Macaca fascicularis: one gene and its partners. The protein of the gene in region 3 purifies or fractionates together with the protein of the main gene of each other region. This does not show direct contact. Links are inferred from orthologs where the notes say so. Each region holds a gene or a part of one and is shown on either strand. Other genes may lie near its edges. The genes, in order: AP3M1, AP3B1 and AP3S1.

Region 1 (9,513 bases), on a different chromosome or scaffold from region 3:
TTTCACCGTCAGGAAGAAATCACAGAATCATATGATTTTGCCTTTACCATGCCCCTGAGCAATGTCTGTGCTAGGGAAACTTCCCATCCCATATCCTGCCTCAGCCCGCCAAGGTAGCCATCCCATGAACACACTGTGTCCTGGTGCTCTCTCCCGCTGGAAGGGCAGAGTAGCCAGGGTGTGGCCCTGCCATCTTCTCAGCAGGGCCACTCCCGGCACTCAATGCTTAGTCACTGCCTGCAGAGGTCTGTGCTGAGGCCTTATCATTCATTCTTAGCTCTTAATTGTTCATTTTGAGCTGAAATGCTGCATTTTAATTTTAACCAAAACATGTCTCCTATCCTGGTTTTTGTAGCATTCCTCCACACCCTTTCTAAACAAGATTTTAAAGACATGTAGGTGTTTGTTCATCTGTAGCTCTAAAAGATCCTTTTTATCCTTTTAAAATTCAGTCCTAAGAATGAGTGCTTGTCCCCTAACAGTGTTTAATGGCAAGGCAGCCTTGTCCGAAGGACACCTCCTGCCTAAAGGAGAGTGGTATTTGCAGACTAGAATTCTAGTGCTGCTGAAGATGAATCAATGGGAAATACTACTCCTGTAATTCCTACCTCCCTGCAACCAACTACAACCAAGCTCTCTGCATCTACTCCCACGTACGGGATTCAAGAGAGTAATGGGTTTCATATTTCTTATCACCACAGTAAGTTCCCACTAGGCAAAATGAGAGGGCAATGTTTCCTTTTTGGTACTTATTACTGCTAAGTATTTTCCAGCACGTGAAACCTTATTTTTCCCCAAAGCCAGAACCAGATGAGTAAAGGAGTAAGAACCCTTGCCTGAACATCCTTCCAGCTCACCCATCACTGTGTGTTAGTTCCCAACATCGAATGTGTAAAACTTAAGTTGGTCCTGTACACTCAGGCTTTCACTATTTCCTTTAAAATGAGGATGTTTATTTTCAAGGCCCTCAGCATATTTGTATAGTTGCTTGCCTGATATAAATGCAATATTAATGCCTTTAAAGTATGAATCTATGCCAAAGATCACTTGTTGTTTTACTAAAGATTTACTTAGAGGAAATAAGAAAAATCATGTTTGCTCTCCCGGTTCTTCCAGTGGTTTGAGACACTGGTTTACACTTTATGCCGGATGTGCTTTTCTCCAATATCAGTGCTCAAGACACAGTGCAGCAAATTAAAAAAAAAAAAAAAAAAAAAATCCCTGAATGATTAGAGAATCACCGCTAAAAAACTACATTTATAAGCTAGGATTTGTTATATGCAAATATTTTCTGCCTCTTCTTTTGTTCTGTTTAAAACAATAAAATGCATTTGTATAAATAATGCTTTCAATGATGGGTATGTTATTTTAGCAAGAACTTTTAGGTCAGGTTTCTCCTTTGTTTTGATGAAGAGCCAATGAAACTAATCCTCAAGATCTGGAAACTAAAGATTTTATTTAATCCAATGTTGTACTGGAAGAAGAAATCAACGGTGGTATATTTACTTAACAAGGATGTGTGTGATACAAGACAACTATGGGGATTACACACTTAAAGGAATGGAAGTGGCAAAGGTTAACAGTAGGCAGAAAGCAGCTGGATGAAACAGTTTGTTTTCACCTTAGAAGATTCTAGCTATCTGTGGAGACCATCACTGTTCCCTGAAAAGCTAAAGTTGTTAAGTTTGTAGGAGTACCACAGGTCCTTCCTCCACTGCAAGACAGAGTCTTGCTCTGTTGCCCAGGCTGCAGTGCAGTGGTGCAATCTTGGCTCACTGCAACCTCTGCCTCCTGGGTTCAAGCAATTCTCCTGCTTCAGCCTCCCATGTAGCTGGGATTACAGGCGTGCACCACCATGCCTGGCTAATTTTTGTATTATTAGTAGAGATGGGGTTTCACCATGTTGGCCAGGCTGGTCTTGAACTCCTGACCTCAAGTGATCCACCCACCTTGACCTCCCAAAGTGCTGGGATTACAGGTGTGATCCACCACGCCCGGCCACACAGGTCCGTTTTTCATATTCCAAAGCCTAGTATAGAATAAATAGGGTTTTCAGGGATCCACCAGGAAAAAGCCCTTATATGGGCCATAAGGCAGAGATAGCTTTGGGGGACACAGTCCTCTTCTTCCTTAAAGAAACACTGACTAAAATAGTAGGAGCAGGTTTTTAGAGTTGGGACATCACTGTTTTTGCCTGATTTTCTAGATCTGAAAGGGTTAACATGTAATTAAAGGGTGATGATATTGATATTTAGTGTTGCCAACTGCTGTTATCACTGCTTTATCTTGGAAAGTTGCCAAATATAAAGATAGATTCCAGCCTGTTTGAGTTAAAGCAAAGTTCAAGGCTACTACTGAATTAGCAGAACTGTCTTGTTTTTGCCATTTACCATATGTTCACTGGTGCTGCCTTCCTGCTGCAGTATAATCATTTTCTCAAATCACTTGCCGCTTAGGACAAGATCAGCATTTTCTTGATCTTGTTCTGTATTTGTTCCTGATTTTCTACTGTAGCACCACTTAAGAAATGAACCTATCACAGGAACTCCCTTTGGATAAAATAATGTGACTCCCACACACTGGAAATAATCATCTACTTCATTTGTTCTTGATATGCTTCCTTATGAATTTAGAACTAAGGGATCCAGGATTAGCTGTAACTCTGCTTGAAAAATATTTTACTACTACTAAGTATTCAGGAATCTTTGTTATCAGTAGGTGGTGGTAGTGATAGAGAAGGGAGCTTTGATCACTAATCTCTCAGACTGTGGCCAGAATGGTGATGCTTAAGCCAAGTATGAATGGCTATTAACATAACGAGGTTAGGGAAGGAGTGCTGAGAAGTGCTTTGCAGCAACACTCACAGCTTGTGTGATGATGCAGAAGAAAATCTGATCATGTTCATCCTGCTTTGACAACGAGCCTTGCCCATTGGAGAATGTTCAATCAATAGTAGACCTAAAAAAAAATCAACTTGTTGCTTTCATCTTTTTATTGATAGCATAGCCAGAGCTACCGAAATGATTTACGGGATTCTAGCAAATTAATAAATACAGTAATTTGATTGTAAAAGAAAACATTCTATTTGGACATTTTAGTAGAAATTGCTAGAAGGCAGGAGCTCCTGGCATACATTCTACTTGGATAGAAGAGAAGATAGCACAGGAGGAGAACTGGACAGTCCAGGTATAGACTGTTGAGATTAGGGATTCAGCAGAAAGCGAAGCAAATGTTCTGATTGTTCTTTTGAGGTACAAACCCTGAAGAGTCAAGACATTAAAAATAAAAAGCAACTGAACTGGGTAGCTTAACTTAGGCAAAAGGAATAAATATTTGGCAACATTTTGACTATTTGGCAGTTCTGTAAAATAACTGCCAATCTGAGATTAGTTTCTTCAGAAATATGGAAGCTGCAAAACGTTGCCTTTCTTATGCCATGAAAGACAGGGCAGACAAAGGTAAGAAAGCTGCTCCGTGGGCTCCTTGTACCAGCACCAACCAGCAGCCCTTGACAGCACAGATGGCATGAGTGTAAGGGCTATCCTTAGCATAAGGAAAAGACGGTTATAAGCTGAGAAGACTGAAAGAAGAATGGAGCTATAAAGAGAAGAAAATAGCATAAATAAGAAGGAAACATGAAGAATATCTTAACTTTCAGTCTTTCTCCATTTCTTGATGTCTAATGAGGCAAAAAATAACTGGGCAAGGACCACCAAGATGAAGAAGTTACATAAAATGACACAATGAAGTTGAGTGCAATAATACAACTGTTGACTGACTTTCCAAAACCATGGTGATCAGTACAGTATCATCAGTGTTACTGAGGATTTTGTTTCTGCCTCATTATAACTCACTTCCATGTATTTTGTCAGTATAGTAAGTATATTTAAGCACTCCAGTGACAATTATGACAATAGTTTCTGGAAGAAATCTATGACTATAGCTTTGGGAAGCACACAATATGAAAAGGGAATTTCCCCTAAAGACAAGGAATGCAGGCAAATTCAACCCCTTAAGAACAACAAAAAAGGTAAAAGATTTAGAAAGACTGATGACAGTGAGGCAGGCACATTTTCCTCCTTTTGCTGAACTGGGGCATGAGACATTTAGGTTAACCATGGCTTAACTGGTGTTGGGTAAGCTTTATATTATAAAACATTAAGATGGCAAAGGTTTCACTTAAGTTTTTCTTTTACTACTTTAATTTGCTTAAAAGCACAAATGCTTGTGCTTGCAGTAACTTCCTGAAAGCAGAAGTAATGTTCCCTTTTACTACCTTAATAAAGCATTTGCCCCTGTGATACAAATGATTTTTTTACTGTGCTAACAGCTGAACCAGTGGCACAAAATTGAGATGGTATTTACTGCAGCAAGGTCCCTGTAAATCAAATAAGCTTTACATAAAAATCTTATTTATAAAAAATACAATACCAAGTACAGAGAGAATGGAGCATGGAGCAGCAGTGCTCCCTGCCAGGGCCATGTGGAAGTGGCTTTTGCTACAGTGCTTGCTTAATGGCACAAGTGAAAAGCTGAATAAGGCAAACACTTGAAGAGGCAGTTTTCTGTAAACTTCTGGGGGTGGGGGGAATTTCCTCTCTTGGGACAGATACTGGTTTGGGATGGCTAAGATCACGTGTGATATTTGGCTGCACCTGACACATCAGAGATTTAAGATAGCTTCTGCTGGATGAGACCAGTTAACTCCTTTTAGGAGAGAGGTTATCACTATAGCTTTCTGCCTTTACTGTTACAATGTGCAGCCGTCAGATGGTATTCTCCTATGGAAAAAAAATCACCTCCAACATCTTCCTAAGTGAAAAGATACAAAATAAGCTAAGTCACTAAAAGGTTTCCTTAGCTTAAAGCTCCTTAAGAATCCTACATTGATAACTAAGCAACTTTGTTAGCGGTGTGTAGCTAGACACAAATGCTTTAACTAGAATATCTATTCCCACCCACTTGGTACCTAATAGTAATACATCATAATGACACTTGGAAAACAAACTGGTCTTGAGAAATTTTGGCCTCTTCTCATGTCCTCACTTGGAACTTTCCAGCTTTCGTGACGTATTTGACTCCTTTAAATGGCTTATATTTCTCCCCATACATGTCCAAACGGTTCACTTTTAAGCCTGTGTCAAAAAGAATGAAAAAGAATAAATTATCATCATCCCAACCAATATGTTAGCAATGAGCACTATATGGTAAATCTGACATTAACCAGTGTCCCTTCCACCATTTGGAAGAAATGTCTCTTCTATCATTTACAAATTATTGCACTTTGATGGTATGGTTTTGGTTAAGATTCACACACAGGCAGGGAATGTCTGTGAAGTATAATTCTACTTTCTATTAATATGAATAACTCCCTTTTTGGTGCTTGAATGAGGGCAGAGGTGAGGAGAAGCTGTTTGAAATAAGGTGTTCTCCAAAATCATTTGGTTGATGCCTGGGAGATGGCCCCACCAAGCACAGTGTAAAAGGCAAATGGGCTACTGCTCTTTCTTTTCTTTTTTTTTTTTTTTCTGAGACGGAGTCTCGCTCTGTTGCCCAGGCTGGAGTGCAGTGGTGCAATCTTGGCTCACTGCAAGCTCCGCCTCCCGGGTACACGCCATTCTCCTGCCTCAGCCTCCCGAGTAGCTGGGACTACAGGCGCCCACCACTACGCCTGGCTAATTTTTTGTAGTTTTAGTAGAGACGGGGTTTCACCGTGTTGACCAGGATGGTCTTGATCTCCTGACCTCGTGATCCTCCCGCCTCGGCCTCCCAAAGTGCTGGGATTACAGGCGTGAGCCACCGCGCCCGGCCAAAGGGCTACTGCTCTTTCTAGAGAGGGAAACTTTTGTTACTCTTCTAAGTGCCTAATAATTGAGCTTGCAAAACTCAATTACCCTTAACTACAAGTCAACCTTATCCTTACCTGAAATAGCAAGCTGCTGGATCTTAAACTGTATATTGAGGCTCGGATTCTCTTCTGGTTTGGGGGCTCCAGACTGTAAATTTACCAGTCCTTTAAGACTTGGGAGCTTTTGTGGAGTAATTTTTCCCACATCCCATGTTAGTACCTTAAAAAGACAAAGAATGAAAAACAAATAGAACCATTTATTAAAGACAAACCCTCCAAAACAAGGTTCAAAGACATCATAAACTTCTGTATCATAAACTTCTGTAAAAATGAAGTGCAGTCTCTTGAAAACAAGAGATCTGGGATCTACAGTGAGTTTACCTCTGATTAGCTCTGTGACTTTGAATGGGGAGTGAGGACAGAGAATCTACATTTGTTGAGCATTTTCTTTTGTATTAGCACCGTGCTTAGCACTATTCATATGTTATCTCATTGAGGGCTGTGAAGTAGCTTTTGTCTTCTATTTACAAATGAGGAAATTAAGGCTCGGAGATCAAATGACTTGCTCAAGGTTACACAGCTAGTCAGAGGTAAGGCTGGGATTTGAACCTAAGGCTCTCTGATTTCAAATGTTCTCCATCATACCATCTTCACTACTTTTCTCTGGGCCTGTTTCTTTTTCTTTTTTTTTTTGAGACAGAGTTTCGCTCTTGTCGCCCAGGATGGAGTGCAATGGCGCAATCTTGGCTCACCACAACCTCCGCCTCTCGGGTTCAAGCAATACTCCTACCTCAGCATCCCAAGCAGCTGGGATACAGGCATGCGCCACCATGCCTAGCTAATTTTGTAGCTTTAGTAGAGATGGGCTTTCTCCATGTTGGTCAGGCTGGTCTCGAACTCCTGACCTCAGGTGATCCGCCCACCTCGGCCTCCCAAAGTGCTGGGATTACAGGCATAAGCCACTGTGCACGGCCTCTGTTTATTTTTCTGTAAAATAATTAGATTGACTTAAGATGGTGTTTTTAAAACTTTTAGCTGTGAAACTCATTGTTCAAATGAAATCTTAGGTGTGGAGGCTCAGCAGCAGATGAGAAAGAAAGCAAAGCTGTCATAGTTGAAGCTGTGGTAAAGGGCCAGGAATCTGAAGCTCCCTTTCTCAGCCCTGTGTGGTCTCCAGGAGGTTCTTTGAATCCTTACAACTGCATTAAATAATCTTTAACATCCTATGATGTTATTCAAAAAACATGTCTTTTCATTTATCAGGTAGCTCAATGACTCTGCTATTGAAAACAATCATATTTACTAGCTAATCAGGAAGCTGAGAGAAAATCATCTGCTACAGTTTCTCTGAAAACCCTCTGCTACAGGAAAATTTAAGTAGGGTGAGGAAGCAGCTTTCCTAGCCCTGTGAAAGAGTATGAAATGATGCTTTTAAATTAAAAAGGAAGAAAAAGGTCTTAATGATCAATTTATATAGAAAACTTAATAATTCATATACCATCATAATATCTTCTTCTACATAATGTTTTCTCTTTTTAAAAAAGCTTTTACTTCTTTCTTATTAGATAGCAGAGGCTCTGGATTAATAATGGATGAGTGAAGGCACATTCTGAAAAAGGACAGAATGACACACTTTTCTGTTCATCTGCTCAGTAGCAGCTGCAGGATTCCTTTGGCAGCCAGTGGCAGAAGCACAGCACAGTATACTCTCTAGGTTTTGATACGAACTTTAGTTTTAAACAAGGTGCTAAACCTTTCCCTCCATTCCTCCCCACAAATCACAAAATAGATTGCAGAAACACTTGCTCACTCTTGATTTGAAGTGGCTGTACCTTGGTGACTGGATCAAATGTATAGCTGCCTTGTGTGGTTGTCAGGTTCATGTTCAGCACAACTTTTGGCATGTGAACTGTCACTGTAATTCCTTCAATAGTTTTCCCCATATTCTGCTTTGGTCCAATTGTTATATCAAATCTGCCACAAGAACTGTTCTCTTTAAAGCTGATACTATGTTTCACATACACTGGTATTGCCACTAGACTAAAAAGAGAAACAGAGAAAGATACAAAAGCATAAACACAATTAATGGTGTGGGGAAAGCATCAGAGGTATCCTGAAAACCTCTGTCCAGAGTATCCTACTGTACCTTTAACTCCACAATAAGGTGCTACAGAGTTGGCTCTCTGTAGCCACAGTTATGCATCCTTGAATTTGACCAGTTGAGGACTGAAAATATTATTTAACACTATCGGCCAGGCGTGGTGGCTCATGCCTGTAATCCCGGCACTTTGGGAGGCCGAGACCGGCGGTGGGAGGGGATCACCTGAGGTCAGGAGTTTGAGACCAGCCTGGCCAACATAGTGAAACCTCATCTCTACAAAAATACAAAAATTAGCTGAGGCTGGGTGTGGTGGCTCACACTTGTAATCCCAGTACTTTGGGAGGCTGAGGTGAGGAGTTCAAGACCAGCCTGGCCAACATGGTGAAACCTCGTCTCTACTAAAAATACAAAAATTAGCTGGGTGTGGTGGCTTGTGCCTGTAGTCCCAGCTACTCAGAAGGCTGAGGCAGGAGAATTACTTGAACCTGGGAAGTGGAGATTGCAGTGAGCTGAGATTGCGCCTCTGCACTCCAGCCTGGGCAACGGAGCGAGATTCCATCTCAAAAAAAAAAAAGAAAAAAAAAAAAATAACAATACAACTACAAAATATAATAAAAATAAAAAGTCAACCTGGTATAACAATTATTTACACAGTGTTTACAGTGTACTATCACAAGTAACTTGGAGATGATTTTAAGTACCCAGGAGGATGTGCATAGGTTATATGCAAATACTACACCATTTTATATAAGGGACTTGAGCATCTGCTGATTTTTGCAACCAATCCTCCAAGGATACCAAGATGGCGGTACCTCCAGAACTGCAGATTCAGCATCTACACAAGGGGGAGCTGAGTATAGCATAATGTTCTGGTACCACTGTGCTGGGAACTGTATACAAATCAAGACAGAAATCTGAAGTTTAATAACAGTATAAACAATTGGGGGTGGCTGGGTGCAGTGGCTCATGCCTGTAATCCTGGCACTTTGGGAGGCCAAGGCAGGCAGATCACTGGAGGTCAGGAGTTTGAGATCAGCCTGGCCAACATGGTGAAACCCCCTCTCTACTAAAAAAAGTAACAAGAAACAAAAATTAGCTGGGCGCGGTGGCGGGCGCCTGTAATCCCAGCTACTTGGGAGGCTGAGGCAGAAGAATCACTTGAACCCAGGAGGTAGAGGTTGCCATAAGCCAAGATCACAGAATTGTACTCCAGCCTGGGCGACAACAGTGAAACTCCGTCTCAAAACAAACAAACAAAAAAACCAAAAAAACATAAAACAAACAAACAAAAAAAAAACAATTGGGGCAAATGGCCCTAGTTTAAAAAAATGAATTACGATCCCACTGAAAAATAATGTAAAATATGTTTTATATAAATGAAAACAGTTCCTATGTGATGAGTCAAGAAACAGGCTGGGTGCGGTGGCTCACGCCTGTAATCCCAGGACTTTGGGAGGCTGAGGTGGGCGGATCACCCAAGGTCGGGAGTTCGAGACCAGCCTGACCAACATGGAGAAACCCTGTCTCTACTAAAAACACAAAATTAGCCGGGCGTGGTGGTACA
Region 2 (10,270 bases), about 40 Mb from region 3:
GAAAATATTTAATTAAGCAAAATTACGAGCCAGACACTTTGCTAGGCACCTTCACACAAATCATAGTCTTTAATATGAGCAGAATGTGTGAACGATTTATGTACATAAATATTTAAGAAATATTCACTGAGCAACTACATAAACTGAAAATACAGAATGAGATAAAGGTTTAAATGAGAAATACTAGGATAAGCAAAAAGAAAGTGGAGCAAGCACTAAACAACTAGACTGTGAAAAAATGTTAAATGAAAAAAAAAACACCCAAAAATATGATACAGACACTAGTTAAATTATTAATAAAAAATGGACTTAAACACAAATAAGTTTAGAACCCCATAGAGAGACACAATGACTTTTTGAGGTATGTCAAATATAATGTGTTACTATTAATAAAATTGTATTTTTAATAAGGTATATTCAATAACATCACCCTAAGTAAATGAATCTCACTCAGCTGCATTTCTATATGCCTTCCTGAAAGACACAAAAAGTAGTGGAGATAAAGTCAGAGTTGCTATAATTGCATACAAACCACAGACACATGTAATCTTCCTACTGGACTCTCCTGAGAATCACTGATATTAAAGGTTAAGAAGGAATATGATAGAGTTTTCATGTTTGATATTATAAAGTTGACAATGAATAAGATTTAAGTTAAAAAATAAGTCAGGCTTTACTGATGCAATCCAAATACACTGAGTTATATTACTGACTACAGGAAAGCATGCAGTCCTTTGCTTGGATCTAAATTAGCTCTTTGAATCTAAACAAATGAAAAGCCCACCCCAATTTCAACAGGGAGTAAAAATGCTACCTTTCAAGGTGTTCGGGAGGTACTGCATTGCTAAGTTACTGGCCGCTAAAGTCACCTTTCAATTGTTAAACCCAAAGGCCTCCTTTCAGCCTTCATTCTATTTGTCCTTACTCTACAACTCCTGACATAGCTGAACATTTCCTTCTTTTAATTTTCCTGTTAGCATCCTCTTTTTTAAACCTTTCCATAGTTTCCCATCCCTGTGAGCTCTGTCTCTTTTTCTAGTTCTTCCATTCATATTTTATATCCTGGTGTCCCCTAGGTTTTGTCTAAACTGCCTTCTCATCTAACAAGAAGTCTTCCCTTGGCCGGGCGCGGTGGCTCAAGCCTGTAATCCCAGCACTTTGGGAGGCCGAGACGGGCGGATCACAAGGTCAGGAGATCGAGACCATTCTGGCTAACACAGTGAAACCCCGTCTCTACTAAAAATACAAAAACTTAGCCGGGCGAGGTGGCAGGCGCCTGTAGTCCCAGCTACTCGGGAGGCTGAGGCAGGAGAATGGCGTGAACCCGGGAGGCGGAGCTTGCAGTGAGCTGAGATCCGGCCACTGCACTCCAGCCTGGGTGACAGAGCGAGACTCTGTCTCAAAAAAAAAAAAAAAAAAAAAAGAAGTCTTCCCTGGGTGATTTCATCCATTCCCATACTTTACTGCCTACTATTCAAAATTGTGATGTCTAAATATCCACCTCATCTGAACATGCTTTTTCTTTTGCAAATCTTCTGGTTTCTACATACTCTGCTTAGCTAAAGGATCCATCTTTCCTCCACCTGGCAAAAACCTCAGGCTTCAAGATCTAAAATGTCACTACCTCAGTGAAGTCTTCACCAACTTTCCCAAATACTGTTAGTTAATACCCTAGTTTAGAAATCACTTTGAAGTACACCATCTTATGAGATCCTCACAAAAGAGGCAAGTATTATCACATCCTGTCTAGAAATGAGGAAACCGAAGTTTGAAGAGATCAGCAACTTGAACAAGGAAGCACTACTACAAGTGGAAAACATCAACTTAAATCCAGGTCTTCTGACTCTGGGCCCAATGTTTTTTGGTTTTTTTCCCCGTTTTTATTTATAGAGACAAGGTCTCACTATGTTGCCCAGGCTGGTCTGGAACTCCTGGGTTCAAGCAATCCACCTGCCTGGGCCTCCCAAAATGCTAAGATTACAGGCAGGGGCCACCACTCCCAGCCTCATGTCCTTTCTAATACACCATGATGCTCTTAAAAGAAAAGAGATTTACAACTTTAGTAGCTTTACTATTGAAATTAAGAAAAATTAACTAGTCTTGTCTGTTTGTTTCTAGAAATTAATTCCTAATTAAATGTTTAATCCAGTAATAGAATTATTAAAATTACTTTTAATTATACGCACACATACCCAAATTGGTTAAGATAAAAGAAGTTTGTTTTTTTTTAATGAAGAAAAATAACTTAGAAAAAAACAGAAACAATAGAAGTTGAGAACATTTCAAAAAGAAGGAAGGGGCCAGGCACAGTGGTGCACGCCTGTAATTCCAGCACTTTTGGAGGATGAGGCAGGCGGATTGCTTGAGCCCAGGAGTTCAAGACTAGCCTGGGCAACATGGCAAGACCCAATCTCTACAGTAAATACAAACATTAGCTGGGCATGGTGGCATGAACCTGTAGTCTGAGCCACTCAGAAGCCTGAGGTGCGAAGGATCACTTGAGCCCGGGAGGTTGAGGATGCGGTGAGCCATGATTGCACCACTGCACTTCAGCCTAGGCAACAGAGTAAGACATGTCTCAAAAAATAAAAAATGAGAGTACAAAAATAAGTTCTTTACATTTTAAATAAAGACATTAAAAATCTTGAAGCAAATAATCTAATACACAGGCCTTTTTAGTCAATAAATGAGGTATAGGATCTACTTTCATAAAGTCATCTAGTTCTGGTTCTGTTTGAAGGGAGGAGAGGATAAATAATACTGATAAATAAGATTAAATTCATAAAACAAAAATCTAATACTATGACTAGGAAGTACCTAGGCATCATTGAGATGGTTAGTGAAGGATCAGAGAACACAGAGCTCTAGGCCAAGAAGCCAAAGAGCACAACAGTAGAGGGAGTTGCAGCTGAAACATTACCATTTTGCAGCCATTGAGGAAGACAGGTTCAGGAGATTGATCAATGGTTGTTAAATGTAGAAGTGGTCAATTTAAAAAAGAGCAAGACATCTGCATGGTCTCAGTGTCTCCCCACAGATAATTTGATTAAAAAAAAAATAGAAATGATACAATAGAGAAACTGGACAACCCTGTGACTAGGAAAATTAACATCATGAAGATGGACACCCTACGCCTCCAAATGTAATAGTTTGAGAAGCACGCATCACCTATGGTAGTATTCCGGCCAAGGATACATAACCTGAATCTAAACATGAGGAAACACCAACAAACCCAAAAATTGATTAACATAAAATAAAATAATAGGCTTGCAATCCTTAGATATGTCAAGGTCGTGAAAGACAAAAAAGGCTCAAGAACTACTCCAGATTAAAGAAGACTAAAGAGACATGGCAACTAAATTAAATATATTATCTTGGACTGGATCCTGTACTTGAGGAAAAAAATTCTTGGGAAAAAAGAAAACACCTTTATTGGAACAAACGATAAAATTAGATTACATACTATAGATTGTACACACATTAAATTTCCTGAATCCATCAACACTGTAAGTTGCGTAAGAGACTATCTTTGTTCTTAAAAGTTACACATTGAGATTTTAAGTTTAAAAGAACATGATGTAGGGGCCGGGCGTGGTGGCTCACACCTGTAATCCCAGCACTTTGGGAGGCCGAGGCGGGCAGATCACAAGGTCAGCAGATTGAGACCATCCTGGTTAACACGGTGAAACCCCGTCTCTTCTGAAAATACAAAAAATTAGCCGGGCGTGGTGGCGGGCGCCTGTAGTCCCAGCTACCTGGGAGGCTGAGGCAGGAGAATGGCGTGAACCCAGGAGGCGGAGCTTGCAGTGAGCCGAGATTGCACCACTGCACTCCAGCCTGGGGGACAGAGCGAGACTCGTCTCAAAAAAAAAAAAGAACATGATGTGTACAACCGAGTCTCCTATGGTTCAGAAGACACATAACATGAATACGTATATGTGCCTGAATATGCATGGGGAGAGTGAGTGACAGAGACAGTAGGCAAGCAATGTAGCAATTTTTTTAATTGGTAAATCTGCAAAAGGGTTGCTCTCAGTGCTATTGTTGCAACTTTTTTGTAAACTTGAAACTATTTCATCAGAGTAAACCATTAAAAACCAGAGCTGAGGAAACAGGGTGAGCTTCAAGTTTTTTACATAAATTATGTCATTCGATTTTTTTAAAAGGCAAGTAATATTACAGTTTTATAAATGAGAAAATGTGGACTCAAGAGAGATTTAATGACCATTTCCAGAACAGGGGTCTCCTTGTTTCTGTACAATTCCATTAGATTGCAGGTCAACAGCCAAATGTTTCTAATCCCTGGAAGCTTCTCTGGTGGTACTACTTAGAGCTATTTAAAGTTTTAAAGCTTTCGTGAGTTGTATGCGCTCACTAATAAAAATACCATACATTTCATCAAGTAGTAAGTAGACATCGAAACTTTTGAGAGAATGGGCTCTAATATTAGAGCCTCTGAGTTCAAATTCAGGCAGTTCAATGTTCTAGCTTTGCGGCCTTTCCCAAGTTAACGATCACGCTCCAATTTCCTCACGTGTAAAGTGGGAGCAGCTGGTAATAACCTGCAGGGTTGTTAAGAAAACTGAATGAGATAATAAATGTAAAGTGGTGCCACAAACACTCAATAAATATCTTTTGGGGAACACAATTCAACCATGGTTATTTGCATATATTACATACCACCTCTAATCAATTAGCTACTTTTATTTTAAATCCAACCTATTAGGTCACCTCAAGAGCACTGGTCACAGAGTCAATGGCCATAAGTTTTTTGGGTTTTTTTTTCCAAATCAGGTCAAAATTTGACAAAAATCTTTTTCCTTTTTTTTTTCTTTTTTTGAGACGGAGTCTCACTCTGTCACCCACTAAAGTTAGAGTGCTGTGGCGCGATCTCGGCTCACTGCAGCTTCCACCTCCCAGGTTCAAGCGATTCTCCTGCCTCAGCCTCCAGCTGGGATTACAAGCACGAGGCACCACGCCCGGCTAATTTTTGTATTTTTAGTAGAGACGCGGTTTCACCATGTTGGCCAGGCTGGTATCGAACTCCTGGCCTCAAGTGATCCGCCCGCCTTGGCCTCCCAAAGTGCTGAGATTACAGCCGAGAGCTGCCGTGCCTGGCCCCAAATCTGACAAAAATATAAGAGAAAAGCCGGAAAGAGGAGAGTAGCCGAAACAAGCAAAGTGATCGCGATGGGTTTAGGAAGGCGATCTGGCGTGCTAAATGGCGTTTCCGGAGAAATCCGAAAACTATTGCTTTACAGAAGTATACTAAAGAGCTGCCCTGGGTCTGGAAACCCCTTAAGGGATCAAAATGGATGCAATGGGTATCCTTCTCCAATGACACCCCTCACGGGGTGTTCACAAACCATAAAAGTAAATTAATTTGCAAAACAGATTGATGCCAATTTACAGGTTAATTCAGTCTAAACATTTTGCTAACAGTAAAGGCAACAAGCTCCGTACTTGCTCTAGAACAATGGATCACCAAATGCATATAATGAAAAATTATATGAAATGAAAATGAAAAGTTACCTTACTTTTAAACTTTTCTAACCTGGGAAAAAGGAAACGAAAATATTGTATCGTACATACTATCTATATGATTTTGATCCTCAATACAGCCAAAATGTAATCCCAATTTCAAGTAGTAGCACTTTCTAGACTACCCAATATTGTTAGTAACGTTTAATTTAAATTTTAATTATACCCTCTAACATATCTGCAAAGCTACCAGCACAGCTATTCTACCTTAATTTAGCGTGAATTTAGCGACAGACTATTATGTGACCATATTGCTTAGTAATGAAAGATTTAAAATAAGAGAAACGTAAAAATGATAATTGTGGTAAATTTAACCACTACCACCACCCCAATACCACCATCCCACCCCCCAAACAAACAACTTGGGATTTCTTTCCATTTCTCGGTGATACTTTTTACAAAACTAAGTGTATCTTAACATTCGTTTTTAAACTTCACATTATTAATTTGTAAAAGTTTAGGATTTGTTCATAGTAACACTCTTAAAATATTTTCTATTCATATGCTTATTTTGGATTGGTGTTTTTGTCTGTAGTGCAAAGGATATAATCCAAGAACACTGATACTGGTATAAACCAATTTGTCCATTCAAACAGCCTAAACCCACCTCTCTCCTCCTACACTCCGGGGTCACAAAATAACTTCCCACAAGCAACACTCGCACTCTCACCTTGACCAAAACACTCGTTTCACCCTAATCAGGGAATGTATCAAAGTCTGATCCGGCGAACGATAAATAAACTTAGAAGACTATGCTCAAAATTCAGATTCCTGAGCCCAGACCAAGTCCAATTCAATCAGTGTCTTCAGGGGTGGGATCTAAGCTCACCAAGCGGTTTCCTTTTCACTAAAGTTTGAAAACTACTAGAGACCCCTACACACACACGCCCCAAACTCCCCCAACTCCCACCACCGCCAACCAACCCCACCCACCCACCCGTGGGACACGTTACCGCCCAGCTCTGCTCAGATCTCAGGGCGACCCCGCTCCACTCCAGGGAGCCCACCCGGCGCCCACTCCTCCGAGTCCCCAGCTCCTCCCTCCCATCCCCGTACCCCAAACCTTTCTCCTCACTTCTTCAAATCGCTGCTAAAGAGGCCGAAGGCCCCCGAGGGGGAAATGGTTGAGGTCGCCTCCTGACCCAGCTCCGTCGCCTCCCCTCCTCCGGACTGCTCATTGTAAGAAAAACTGTTGCTGGACATTGCCGCGGTGCTGGCGGGTGCGGGGTTGGTCCTGCCGGGGGTTCTCTCCGAAAGGTTCCAGTCCAGAGGGCACCGAACAAAACTAGTTCGCGTACCGAGGAGCGCGCGCAGGCGCTTCCGGACTCGTCACCGCTCCCTGAGCCGACCTAGCAGTCCACCCCCTGCGCATGCGCAGTGTGCGGGAAGGCAGGATACCACCCGGGCCGTCCAGGCCTGCGCGGATTTCCCTGCTCCGGGCTTTAGAGGTAGCTGAGCGGCTGCGAGCCTGGCTGCGGAAAGGGAGGCAGCGGGTGGCGAACTGCCAGGCTCCCGGCCCGTGAGGGGTGTCATTGGAGAAGGATACCCATTGCATCCATTTTGATCCCTTAAGGGGTTTCCAGACCCAGGGCAGCTCTTTAGTATACTTTTGTAAAGCAATAGTTTTCGGATTTCTCCGGAAACGCCATTTAGCACGCCAGATCACCTTTCCTAAACCCATCGCGATCACTTTGCTTGTTTCGGCTACTCTCCTCTTTCCGGCTTTGCCTTACTTTCATATCCACCCGAAACAACTTTTCTCCCAGACTTTAAGGAGGCCTCTCCCAACGATGGTTTGGAGGATCCGCACAGAAGCGACCATTCCATCCTTGCAACGAAAATCTTGGAGGCAGACCGGCGCGGTGGCTCACGCCAGTAGGGCACTTCGGGAAGCCGAGGCGGGCGGATCACTTGAGGCCAAGAGTTCGAGACCAGCCTTGGCAAAATAGCGAGACCCTGTCTCTGCAAAAAATATAAAAATTAGCCGGCGTGGTGGCTCGCGCCTGTGGTCCCAGCTACTGAGCCTGAGGTGGGAGGTTCACTCAAACCCAGGAGGAGGGGGTAGCGATGAGTTGAGATCGCGCCTTTGCACTCCAGCCTGGGCGACAGAGCGAGACCCTGTCTCAAAAAAATTAAAAAGAACAGAAAACATCTTGGGACCACCAGTTCCAGTTTAGAGCTGAAGTGGTGCGTCCTACTGGCGTCTAGCTACCAAAAATAAAATGGACCACCTTGCGCGCCAGGCGCAGCTGTCATCTGACACTTCTGTGTCCTGTCGCCGTCGTGTCACTCACTAATATGCACTAGGGAGCCTAGGCGGGATGCTTGCCTGGCCCCGGAGTAGCTCTCTCCGGGTGCTGGCACCCGAGAAAACCTCTTTCCAGGAGTGACTTCCCCCAGCCCGCCTTCTCGGTTGGGTTTCAGAGCCTTCCCTCTCTTCTCCCCAGTGCCTCCCGTCCAGGTAGGCGTTAACTCCCAAAGCCTTGGCGGCCAGGTACTGAAACTGTCAAGGGATTCTACCAGGTAGAACGCGAACGTGGAGACCGGCAGCCTCTGGGAAGGCGGTGGGGCGTTTTCAAGGATCAAAGTATGATCTCCAAGTTTCAAAAGGTCAGACTGTCACTGTGGAAGCACGCACGAGCGTGGCTCTGGGTGGGAGAAGAAGGAATGTCCTCCAAACTTCATCGTCTGGTTAAATATTGGCAGGTTTTTAATTCGACTGTTAGAATACTGCTCCGGAGATCCAATGATGATCACCTAAAATGTGTTTGTCAATATTAATGATGTTAATTAATAACATTTCATCTACAACTGACTATTGATAATGAAGATGAGGATGATCATAGATAACTATATATTATTATATAATCCTTAATATATACCACAAACTATTCTAAGTAATTTTATATATATTAATAGTAAAAAGAGTTAGGCTTTGGTTACTTTATTTGTAAAAGGAGAACATTGATATACACATAGCCTGGAAAATATCTGACACATACCTGATTATAGAATTTCTTGGTTTTAGAGTTTGTGCACTTTTACCAGATATCCTAAATTTTTTTCCAGCATAATTTTAGCAGTGTGTAATCTTCTTTCTTCACATTCTCACAAACGTTTAGCTTTCTAAAAATGTTTTATTGTCATCAATATGATATGAAGGAATATTATTTGTATGGTAATTAATTTTCATTTTCATGGTCATAATGAACTTGAGAATATTTTATGTGGTTACTCCATTTGCATTTTATTTCCTGGGAATTGCATATGAACCTATTTATCCACTTTTACACTGAGTAGTTTTTCTGATGGACTTGAAGAGTTCTTTGTCCTTGAGTCTGTTATTTTTAATTAACTGCTTGATTTTACTTTGTAATATTTTTATTTTTTCACACAGACTCAGGTAGGAGACTGACCTACAATATTGGGGTTTTGGGTTTTGGGGGTTTGTTTTTTGGGGTTTTGTTTTGTTTTTACATTGTCCTTGAATGGTGTGGATATTAAGAATATCTATTCTTCAAAAAACAGGTATAGGTAACTTTTTCTCTGGAATATTATGTGTAAGATACAGAGCATATATTCCTGGATGAAATAGATAAAACTTTCTTTTTATCACTAAAAAAAAAAAAAAAAAAAAAAAAATGAGAGCATTGACAAGAAGGGACTTGAGGCCCTTACTGCCTTAAAATTCTAAGACTGTATATTCTTACAGAAAGATAAAAAATAATAACTCCATGGGCTGTGGTCTAGCATTCCCATATCTCTAGAATTGAAAAATCTTTTATATAGCCATGAAGCTTTCTGACAGAGGAAAAAAATCACACTTCCAACCAGAAGAAACATTAACAGAACTAGAAGATTACTCTCTGACACCTGTTACCAAGCCAAACCAGATTTTCTGTTTCCTTCCAGCATATGTAGTGTCTTGTATTACTGCCAAATAAGTTGGATATTTTTTTTCAAAAACTATTTTCCCCCTAATACTTAATAAAACCTTTATCAAATTTTCTGTTTCCGTTTCTGTTCATCTAACCTTCATGATATAGATGTTAAATGTGTTGTATATATTTTCAAGCTTTTTTCTCTAAGCGTAGAAAAATAAATGATAGATGTGCATATTTCTCCAAATACCAGTTAAAACCATAATATCATTCTGCATGTTACTACATCTCACTGTTTTAAAGATCTACATAGTATTTCCTTTCATAGGTGCATCTTTATTTATTTAACCAATAGCCTGCTGATACACATGTAAATTGTTTCCAATTTTGGACTATTATAACAACTTTGTCAATGCATGTCTTTGCACCATGCCACCACTATTCCCATTAGTTAAGATTCCAAAAGTCCAATAGCTAGAACAAATGATATGCGCAATTGAAATTTTAGTAGATATAGCCAAATTTCTAACCTGAAAAGAGAATACCAACACTTTCACCAATATTTTTCCGTTTCAACACACCCTTTCCAGCAATGTATATTATAAATCTTTTTAATGTTTGCTAATCTGATTGGTAATAATAATAAAATCTTTACTGTCATTTACACTTGCATCTCATTTATTCTAAGTAGAGACAGTAAAATTTATAGTCCAAATAGGAAGTTTTCTTTTTGTTTCTTTTTGTTTGTTTGTTTGTTTGAGACAAGTTTTGCTCTTGTTGTCCAGGCTGGAGTATCATGGCGTGATCTCAGCTCACTGAAACCTCCGTCTCCTGGGATCAAGTGATTC
Region 3 (10,462 bases):
CAGTTACCTTAAAGCCACAATGTCTAATAAATCCACCATCAGCTTCAAAGCATTTATTTGTGTTATTAATGTCTAAAAGGTATATCCTATTCACTGGGACATTCTGAAAGGAAAAATAAAGACTGGGGGAAATACACTAAGTGTTAATAATTACCTGTGTGTGGGAAAATCAAGAATGACCTTAGTGGCCTTAATACTTAATTTTCCACATAGTCACAAAAAAGAAACTTACTTAAAATTGAAAACACCTTTGCTAAAGAATATAATATAGGTACGTTATGTAAGGCCTTCTTTTAGAAAAGCCATGAAATGACCTATAACATTGTACTGTTTATAACAGTTACCTCAAAACCAAAAATCATTTTAACTTTGAACACTTTATTTCCTCCTTTACAATTAAATATTCAAAAGGTTTAACCTTAATTTTTAAAAAGCAAGTTTTCCAGCATACTTCATATAAAGACTGTGACCGTATCAGCATTGGGGTTTTTCGAGGACACTTTGATACAAGGAAAACCTGAAATTAAGACCTATTGTGACACATGTTCAGTATTGCATATTACAAGGAACCATTCCTGATATTAACCTCAGAAGCATATTAAAATTACAGAAAACTAATATATATTAAAAGCTAATAAAGAGGGAACAGTGGTGACAGATATGTTAATTAGCTTGATTTACCCATTTCACAATACATACATATACGAAAATGGCATGTACACTGTAAATATGTGTAATTTTTTTTGTCATCTGTACCTTAATAAAAAAATTTTTTTTTTAATTTTTTGAGACTGAGTCTCCTCTGGCACCCAGGCTGGAGTGCAATGGTGCAATCTCAGCTCACTGCAGCCTCAACCTCCGGAGCTCAAGCAATCCTCCCACCTCAGTCACCTAAGTAGCTAGGACTATAGGTGTGTGCTAACATGACTCGCTAATTTTTGTATTTTTTGCATAGAGACAGGGTTTTGCCACATTGCCCAGGCTGGTCTTGAACTCCGGAGCTCAAATGATCCTCCCACCTAGGCCTCCCAACATGCTGGGATTACAGGCATGAGCCACCGTGCCCGGCCATAAAAATAAATATTTTTTTAAAAGTTTAGAAGAGGAAATAGCAGACCCTTGTTTGCCTACCCACCATCCACTCCTTTCTTTAATCTTTCCAACAGAATATCCATTTCATTCCCGTTTGCACTCTCATCTTCAGCTCCAATCCAAGGTTAGATCTTGATTAGGGTAAGCTATTAATATTATTGGTCTTGGGTGGGTCTAAGCAGAATGAAGAAAAAGACACAGTCCAGGACTGCAGAAACAGATAGTTGTCTCTTTCTGAATTGAATTGATTACCACCAATTTCAAGGAGAAAAACAGCCTTTGGAAATAGTAATTTTGTGATGAGCAAAGCAGATAAAGAAAAAGAAATTGGATCTACAATAAAGTCATCGATTTGTTGAATCATTTAATTTTGGAATCCGTCTACTACTCTGCACTTCCTATAATGTACCTCACATAGTTCTTTCTAAACATTTGAGTCAGGCTACATAAAACCCAATTTATGCAGACAAATGCATTATAACTAATATGGAAGGAAACCAAATCGTATGGAATTTTCTTCTTAACAAAAAGCTGAAATGCCATGTGTTAATACGTGTTAACACCCTCATACTCAGCAGTGTTGATAATTCTATCTTGATCACAGACTTAAGTTTAATTATCCCATCTGCCACAATGTCTTAATAGTCACTAAAAAAAGACATCAGTGAACATGGATGGATCTTTTTAAGGGATATTTTTAAAAGAAAAAATGTTATCTATACTTTCAATACTTTGTATTTTTATGCTAAAAATTTAAAAGAAAAACGGGAAAGAAGAATCTTAGAGTTTCTCCTAAGGCTTGCATTTGGTTAACAGTTTAATTAAATATAGTTTATTAAAAAATTGAGGCAACTCATATACATTAACTTGAAAATTTTCCGGCTTGTACTTCATATATGTGTGGTGTGTACGCACACATGCATATATACACATGGTATTTTATATCTGCAGAAACTACTAAGATAATCCACACAAAAGAAAGACATTTCCACTTTATAAAAGTAATTCACAGGCCAGGCATAGTGGCTCAGATCTTTATCCCAGCACTTGGAGAGGCCAAAGTTGGAGGACTGCTTGAGGCCAGGAGGTTAAGACCAGCCTAAGCAAAGTGAGACCTTTTCTCTATAAAAAAAATTTTTTTTAAGTAATTCACCAGAGGATACACTATGGAATCATAACCCAAGAGATTTTTTTGTTTGATAGCTATGTAAAAATATATTTGGTTTATAAGATATAAGTCTCATTAGTTATTTACAGTAACGCACAAATACTGTTAGGCAAGTATTAAAAGACTAAAGGTTACTGCTGCCAAGTCGCTGAAGCTACGCATCAACTTAAAAAGACAAATGAAGAAAAATATTTGAATTTGTGCAGTCATAGACCAAGGATATAGAAGGCAAAAACAAAAAGGGAGGCATTCTGAGTACAGACTGGAATTTTTTTTTTTTTTGAGACGGAGTCTCGTTCTGTCACCCAGGCTGGAATGCAATGGCACGATCTCAGCTCACTGTAGCCTCTACCTCCCCAGGTTCAAGCAATTCTCCTACCTCAGCCTCCCGAGTAGCTGCAATTATAGGCGTGCGCTACCATGCCTGGCTAATTTTTGTATTTTTAGTAGAGATGGGGTTTCACCATGTTGGCCAGACTGGTCTTGAACTCCTGACCTCAGGTGATCCGCCTGCCTCAGCCTCCCAAAGTGTTGAGATTACAGGCATGAGCCAAGGCACCCAGCCCACACTTGAATTCGTAATGTCTAACTCTAGCAGAATGAACCAAAACTTCCGTTTAGCAAAACAGGTGTGTGACTTCATATTTCTCACATATAGCAGCTTGGAGCCACAATTTAATCTAACAATCCATTACAGCATGAAATGGAAATGTGCACTGTTAAAGGGCAGATGAATATATAAGTTGTTATATTATGAGGGAGATAAACGAGGAATGAAAATGCAATGCAGTAGCATAAACTTGTTGGCAAAGGGTTAAACATTTTTCAAATGGCTTAGTGTTAAACCATTACTGTTGGACTCAAACCTCAGCATCCTGCCAGCATATGGAATCGTTAGCTCAGTCACATCCCTAGATATTGTTCAATAAATTAAACTCAAAATTTTTATTCATATTGGACATATACGTCTTAGAGACCTCTTAAAACAGAAACAGCTGAGTAACAGGTATTCCATCACTACTTTTATGCTAAAGGCAGAAATTCGTAAAACCTCTAGTTAGTGAAGGACTACATTTTAAAAGACAGACGGAAACTCAGGAAGTCAATTCTAATCCAAACTCTATCCCAAGCTAGGAGATTCTAAATAAATGCATTTAGCAAAGAGTTAGTTTTCTATGTTCAAGCCTCAGTGTTGACTGCTAAGAATGACACAAATATCTCTAAAATCTCATACGTTCCTTCAAGTATTCTATAGGATGGCTGCCACGAGGAATTACAGGCTGTGAACAAGAATATTGTGCCATAACAAAGATAAAAAATAAAATCCTAAAACACAAGAGGAGCCTTTGAGCAAGATCAAAGGCTTCACAGACTGTTTAGGTGACGTTTGTGCTGGGCCTAGAACAAGGGGTTGAATTTGTACACGTGGCAACGGAAAGGAAGGACATTCCAGGCAGCAAGAATAGAATGACGCCCTACACAGACACTTTCAACTCATGTTCCCTTACACAGTCTGCTCCTGCTATGTAGAAATTCCTGGGGTTCTTCCAACAGGCACTCTCTTCAGGGTTTTTGCATTTGCTGCTCCTTGTACCTGGGATGCTCTTCCCCTAGATATCTGGAAGGCTGCCTTTCTTACCTTGTTCAAGTCTTTGCTCAAATGCTACCTTCTCAGTGAGAACTTACCAGACTATCCTATTTTCAACTGTCATCCTCTCAGTCTCTAAGACTGTTCCGTGCTTTATTTTTTTTCCACAGCACTTAATACTATCTGGCATGCTATAATATAGCCTACTCCTTAATAGCTCTATCTATGTTTCTCAAGCAAGGGCAAAAGTTATCTGTTCATCTTCAGATTTTAAAACTGTTTCTGCATATGGTAGGCATGAATTAAATATCTGTCGACAAACTGATGGAATGAATGAATGAAAAAAAAATAACTGTCCTCAAAAAGGTTATGGTCTAGTGGAGGAAGCAAATATGTAAATAATCTTAAATTATTCCCGAAAGACAAAAAAAACCACACTCAGCAAAACCCAACTTATAGAAACTTAATACACAGAAACAACTTCTCATACTCCACTTATACATGGCCAGTGACCACCAGATTCTTCTTTATATATCTTCTAGCTCTCTGCCCTCAGTGGCACTGTCACTCATACCATGGCCAAAAATGCCACCAGAGCTGCCACTGCTGCCAGAACTGCCTCTTCCCACATTAACCGTCACTGCTACCTAGTGAGTGATGGTAAACAATACTTCTGTTCCACTTTTGGACAAGGGAAAGGCAGATTCCTGAGTTTCTAAATTAAATGCATTTTTCAGTAGATAGTTACATTCTATACTACACGAATAGTATACACTGATTATATGGATTAGCCAGAAAACCCACTGTTTTGAACATTGCTTAAGTTTAGATATGGAAAAATAATTTTTTGAATTGTTTCACTATTGCAACATACCTTTTTTATACTGCAAATGGATGACACTGGCAAAATGGTTATGAAAAAGATTCCTTCAATAAAGGCCGGTACTATCTTTTAACAAACAGGTAAAGTTAATGGCATTTTTTTCACTCGGGAGGATCAACTAGAATTTAAGCTGGATTACAGAATGATGTAGAATTTTTAAACAGACCATCAGTATTTAAGTTATACTAAATTAAAACCACACAGGAGTAGCAGAAAATATTCTTTATAGCTAGCAAAAGCAAAACAACTGAAAAAAAAATGAAGAATAAGCTCAAGATTTCTCACTTCAACTAACACCTCCACAGACTGCATTATCATTTTAGGCAAACTGACATTTTAACATTTACTTTGTAACGGCAAGATTGATTTCCATCTGGGACTTATCTGCATAAAAGTGTTAGCCTTGGCACAATTTCAAAATTGAATTGAAAGCTCATTTCTGGCTATAAGCAAAGTGCCACAATACCACACAACAGTTACACCTCACATTAATCCTACCACTGGGAACCCAATTTTATGTGTTTCAGCTAGTGAATTTTCGCTCAGATGAGCACATACCTCTATAAAACCCTTCCTCGATCATCAATAAATCACTTATCTCTACTACCTTAATGCCTCCTGCACTTGTCCATACTAAACAGTATTCACACATCTAAAAGAGAAGTTCTACAAATGCTACTATTCTTCATAAATAGAAAAAAACTATAAATGATGGCAAATTCCCATACGTGGAAAAATGCCAAACCAGAAGCTTAACTTTTAGGTATAGAACCTAAAACTTTTAGGTAAAGAATCATAACTTTTACGTATAGAACCACAGTTCCAATCACTCAACTACAAACGTCGCCGGTTACTTCGAGGGTAAATAATTTGCAGCCAGCTGCTAAAAGGCCTGATAAAAACATTAGGTCCTCACGTATCTTCCTCTTTAATAAGGAGGCACCTGAAAGTCACACTGGGCAGTCGGTCACGTATCGAAACATACAGGAGAGAGACTGTACAGAGCGTGCAGTTATCAAACGCAGGAAGCCAAAGTTCCTGCCCTATGAGAGGATTACAGTGAAAACCAGTAGCCCATCTGTCCAAAGAACAGAAAGAAGTCCACTTGCAAAGGCTGGGAGTCGGGGAAGGGGGGCGAGAAGAACAAGTCCCGCCCGGTCTTCCTCCTCCCGAGCTAACTGCAGCCGCGGGCGGCACAAGGCAGTCGCGCGGGATTGGCTCTTGGGGCCGGGGCGCAGGGCTCCGGGGCGCGGGTGGGCTGCCGCTGCCCGATCGGCGAGGGCCAGGCACCGGGAAGTCTCCAGGGCCTCGCCCGCGCAGCCGGGAAGGCACGCAGCCCACCGACGGGCGGAGGAACCGCCCGGGCAAAGCCACGTCGGTGGCTGACCGCGCGGCAGGGAGGTGGGCACCCCGTCCACACCCACCGGGAGGCTGACAGCCGGCGAGAGCCAGGCGGCCAGGATGGGAGAAGGGCCGCAGCGCGCCGGAGGGGGTCGCTCTGAGGAAGCCGCGCTGGGCGCTGCCCGTCGCCAACGACTCCCCCTCGCCCGGATCAGCAGCAGCTGGATACTCACGTAGGGTTGGTAGAACTTGGAGAGCCGCGGCTTCCCGTGGTTGTTGAAGATTAGGATCGCCTTAATCATGGCTGTGCCTGGCCGACCGGGTGGGCACTGGGGGCCAGGGCGGGGGCGGGCGCACGAGCCTCGCCTCGTAATCTCGCCGGCGATCCTTCCCCACCCGCCCCCTCCCGTACGCGCCCGCGCGCGCTCCCGTGTCGCCGGGCGGGGCCCGAGAGGCGGGGCCTGGGCGGGGCAGGCACTGAGGAAAGCGGAAACATTTGTAGGTCCGAGCCAGCGGCCCAACAGGGGAGTGTGCGCATTCGACCAAGCACGAAGACGTTGCCCACCTCTCCTTTACTGAGGTCTGTAGTCGCGGAGAAACACATGTTGCGTTATTAACGTTCAGAAGTCTGCCACAGCTTCGATTTGAATGACTTGCCAGGAACACCAAGTTTCACTGTGGAATTGGGTTCCCCTTCTCCGGCGCCTCCTTTGCTACGCTCTCTGGAGAAAAAGCACGCCCACTGCACGCGCTCAATCGCTACTTCCGTTCTCCAATCTCTCCAAGCAAGATGGCGGAGGAGCCGCAGTCCATGTTGCAGCTTCCTCCCTCAAGTGCTGCTGGAGGGGAAGGACCTACGGAGGTCTCCCCAGAAACAACCACCCCGGAGCCCCCGTCTTCCGCTGCAGTTTCCCCGGGAACAGAGGAACCTGCTGGCGACACCAAGAAAAAAAGTAACTGAATTTATTTCCGGGCAGAGAGGCGGGAGGTTCAGATTGCATCCGACTGGGGGTGGCGGCCAGTAAAGAAGCAAAATTTAGAGGAACTCCCGTCCTAGACCTGCATTTTGACTAGTCATCAGAAGAAGTGTACTTTTTGATTTTTAAGGCTTATGAGTTGAGTGTTAAAATACTATGTCTGTCGGTGTAGGTCCTGATACTTGGCTGCCACACCCCTTTCTATATTCTTTGAGTTGGCCAGACTGCAAGCTCTTTGAAGGAGGGAGGGAGCTGAGTGGGGGTTCTCGGTAATTCCAGGTACTTAACACAGGAGCTAATTATTTTAATAATGTTTTAAGGTGGTAGGGATGGTCACTGGCAAAGCCTGGATTAGAATTCACGCCTTCCGACTTACTCGCTTTTTTGGTTTTTTCCCCCTCCCAGTTGGTTGTGAATTCGCTCCTTAAACCAAAAACCAAATTCTTACGCAAAATGAAGACTGCTAAGGGAAAGCTAAAGGCATAGATGTTACCTTTTTAAGAAACACATTTTGGAACCTTTTTGAGTTATTTCATTGCTTGAACCAGCTATCCTCAACCCTTTATTGTTTGAGAATGTTTTCCTTTGTAAAAGAGATTTCCAAGGTTACGTGTTCTAAAGCACTCTCTAGAGTTAGAGTTGCCTATGAGAAAAGCAGCATATAAGCATCCTCGATTCAGAGAGGCTGATTTTGTCCATAGACAAGTTTTCCGCGTTCAGTCTTAAGATGACAGTGGTCTCTGGCAGGGCGCGGTGGCTCAGGCCTGTAAATCCCAGCACTTTGGGAGGCCGAGGCGGGTGGATCACCTGAGGTCAAGAGTTCGAGACCAGCCTGGCCAACATGGTGAGACTCCGTTTTTACTAAAAATATAAAAATTAGCTGGGCGTGGTGGCGCGCGCCGGTAATCCCAGCTACTCGGGAGGCTGAAGCAGGAGAGTCGCTTGAACACACGAGGCGGAGGTGGCAGTGAGCGGAGGTCGCGCTGTTGCACTCCAGCCTAGACAACAAGAGCGAACTCCACCTCAAAAAAAAAAAAAAAAAAAAAAGACATTGGTCTCATTGCCTTTTCTTCAACTTCTGCTGCTGTGGAGGATAATTCTCTCCCAAGACTGCCCCCCTCCCCCTTTAAGTCAGACTCCCATTTCCACGTGATGCACTGTGAGACTTTTCATGGATAGCCGCTAGAATCTTTCTTCAAAAGAATTCCGCAGGTTTTACAGTTTTTTGTTGCGTTTTTTCTTCCAATGTACTATAGGCAAGAGCGGACTTTCCGAGATTCGTTTTAAGGTCTAACAGTCTTAGTCAAAAGCTTATTACTTGACCCTGATGATAGCTGTGTGAAAAGCTAAAAAAACAGTGGCTTACAATCGAAATATTGCTCGAGGGCATATTTTCTTGGTCTGAACAGTATTTTTTGCAAATTGAACTGTCATTTAAGGATCAGATTTTTATTTTCTGGCTCTTGTTAGCATTTGAGTTTGCCTCTCCAATATAAAACTTTCTATTCCTAACCTATTTCTAACTATTCCTACCTTGAGGTTGTCATCATTTGTTGAGGATAATCTGATGAAAGCAGCTTAACTGTTTTGTATCCTCAGCCTTTGTTTTAATCTACAGAAGAAAGATTGTTGAAACAGACCAAGGTTTTGGCACTGGCGGTATGTTAGGTTACCTGGGGAGTAAGTGTTTTCCTAGTTGATTCTAATGTGTATCCGGGGTTCAAAACTACAGGCAAATTACCTTTAAAATTAAAAAGAGAGGGCAACTGTAATTAAATTATTTTCCTTCTCTAGTTTCTCACTGTCTTACACTTCTTCCTGAGGTAGCATAACTCATGATATTTTCTGCTTCACTTTCTGGAAATGTTTAATTGCGTTAATCGATTTACTGATAGCCCCAGGGGATTGAGGGAGCAGTGAAGGGAGGTATGAAAGATAGGATAAATAAAATCCCATGTTTTCTCCAAATACATTCCTATTCCCGAGATAACTGGGCCTAGGATAATTAGTTCTTTAGTAGGAAGATAAAATGTGCATGCATCATGTGTTCTAGATGCCTTCATTCCAGGGGTAAACTTGAATAAATTGACCTCTGATCTTTCGGCTCCAACATTTAATACCAAAAGAATGGAGCAAGAAGGGTGTAGTAGAGTAGAGTTAACTTTAGGGGGCAGCAATACACTATTTTGCTTTCAATGTGTCTTGGTTTTTGACTGCAGATGTCTTTTTTTTTTTTTTTTTTTTTGAGAGGATGTCTCAGTGTGTCACCCAGGCTGGAGTGCAGTGGCGCATCTCGGCTCACTGCAACCTCCGCATCCCGGGTTCAAGTGATTCCCCTGTCTCAGCCTCCCAAGTAGCTGGGATTACAGGCATGCACCACCACCCCTGGCTGATTTTTTGTATTTTTAGTAGAGACGGGGTTTCACCATGTTGGCCAGGCTAGTCTTGAACAAGAAGTTGGAAGGGGACTGGGCCCTCTTGAACTCCTGACCTCAAGTGATCCTCCTTCCTTGACCTCCCAAAGCGCTGAGATTACTGGCGTGAGCCACCTTACGCGCCTGGCCAGATGTTTGTTTGTTTGTTGTTTTTTAGCAAATAACTTTATTCAAGAGACAGATTCATAGGGTTTGGATTTGCATATCTGTGTTTTGGATCATTGAAACCTTAAGATTTCTCTTTCTGCAACTTTTTGGCCTTTGGTGGTTCTATTATTGTTCATAACTTACTGCTTTCCTTTATTGAAAAGTTTATTACAGAAAATTTGGTAGTTACAAAAAGCATAAGTAAAACCAAGTAACCATTGCCTACAATGTCACTAATGAGAAATAACGTTTTGGTGCATATTCTTCCATATTTATGTGAATGTGTTTTTGATGGTTTCTAATGCATTTGAGATATTATACATGCTGTTGGAGAGATTAAATATCCACATATATACCCAGCAAATGGCAGAGCCAGGATTTGAACCTCAGGCAGTTTAAAGTATATGCTGTTTACTACATTCCATTTAATCAGTCACCTCCAAATATCCTTTGGATATTTAGGTTTACCAGTGTTTCATATAAAAATAAATGCTTAAACGGAGGTGAAATGTTTTTAAGTGAATTTTTACACATCTCGTATTTTCTTAGACTAGATTTCTAGAAGTATTATTGAATCAAAGTATACCTTTATTGGGATCTGTATTACCATATTGCATTCCACAAAGAGTGTACCATTTTACATTCTCAGAAGTAATATCTACACTGGTAATTATTTTAATTTTAAGTAGTTTGGTGGGTGAAAAGGGACATGACATTATTTTACTTTGCTTTTTGTGAACTTAAATATTGTTTTTGTATTGATCATTTGTATTCTCTTTGGAATTGCCTGTTAAGATAAAATGCATTTTAAAAATTAGTCCTGTTGGGAGA

What was found.
Region 1: the proteins of AP3S1 (region 3) and AP3M1 purify together in Homo sapiens (co-immunoprecipitation; 4 studies listed by BioGRID and IntAct, counting the BioPlex papers as one, with this or other methods). This does not show direct contact. The link is inferred for Macaca fascicularis from reciprocal best matches to the Homo sapiens genes AP3S1 and AP3M1.
Region 2: the proteins of AP3S1 (region 3) and AP3B1 fractionate together in Homo sapiens (co-fractionation; 5 studies listed by BioGRID and IntAct, counting the BioPlex papers as one, with this or other methods). This does not show direct contact. The link is inferred for Macaca fascicularis from reciprocal best matches to the Homo sapiens genes AP3S1 and AP3B1.

Annotation. Positions count from the first base shown.
Region 1 is NC_088383.1:72,314,200-72,323,712, reverse strand, and holds the end of AP3M1 (AP-3 complex subunit mu-1), read right to left. Parts: intron 7,889-9,513; coding exon 7,681-7,888; exon of another isoform or gene 7,659-7,680; intron 6,069-7,658; coding exon 5,924-6,068; intron 5,136-5,923; coding exon 5,035-5,135; 3' UTR 2,978-5,034; downstream 1-2,977. UniProt on the Homo sapiens protein: Part of the AP-3 complex, an adaptor-related complex which is not clathrin-associated. The complex is associated with the Golgi region as well as more peripheral structures.
Region 2 is NC_088380.1:82,256,734-82,267,003, forward strand, and holds the start of AP3B1 (AP-3 complex subunit beta-1), read right to left. Parts: upstream 6,864-10,270; 5' UTR 6,745-6,863; coding exon 6,617-6,744; intron 1-6,616. UniProt on the Homo sapiens protein: Subunit of non-clathrin- and clathrin-associated adaptor protein complex 3 (AP-3) that plays a role in protein sorting in the late-Golgi/trans-Golgi network (TGN) and/or endosomes.
Region 3 is NC_088380.1:122,427,747-122,438,208, reverse strand, and holds the start of AP3S1 (AP-3 complex subunit sigma-1), read right to left. Parts: upstream 6,479-10,462; 5' UTR 6,375-6,478; coding exon 6,306-6,374; intron 1-6,305. UniProt on the Homo sapiens protein: Part of the AP-3 complex, an adaptor-related complex which is not clathrin-associated. The complex is associated with the Golgi region as well as more peripheral structures.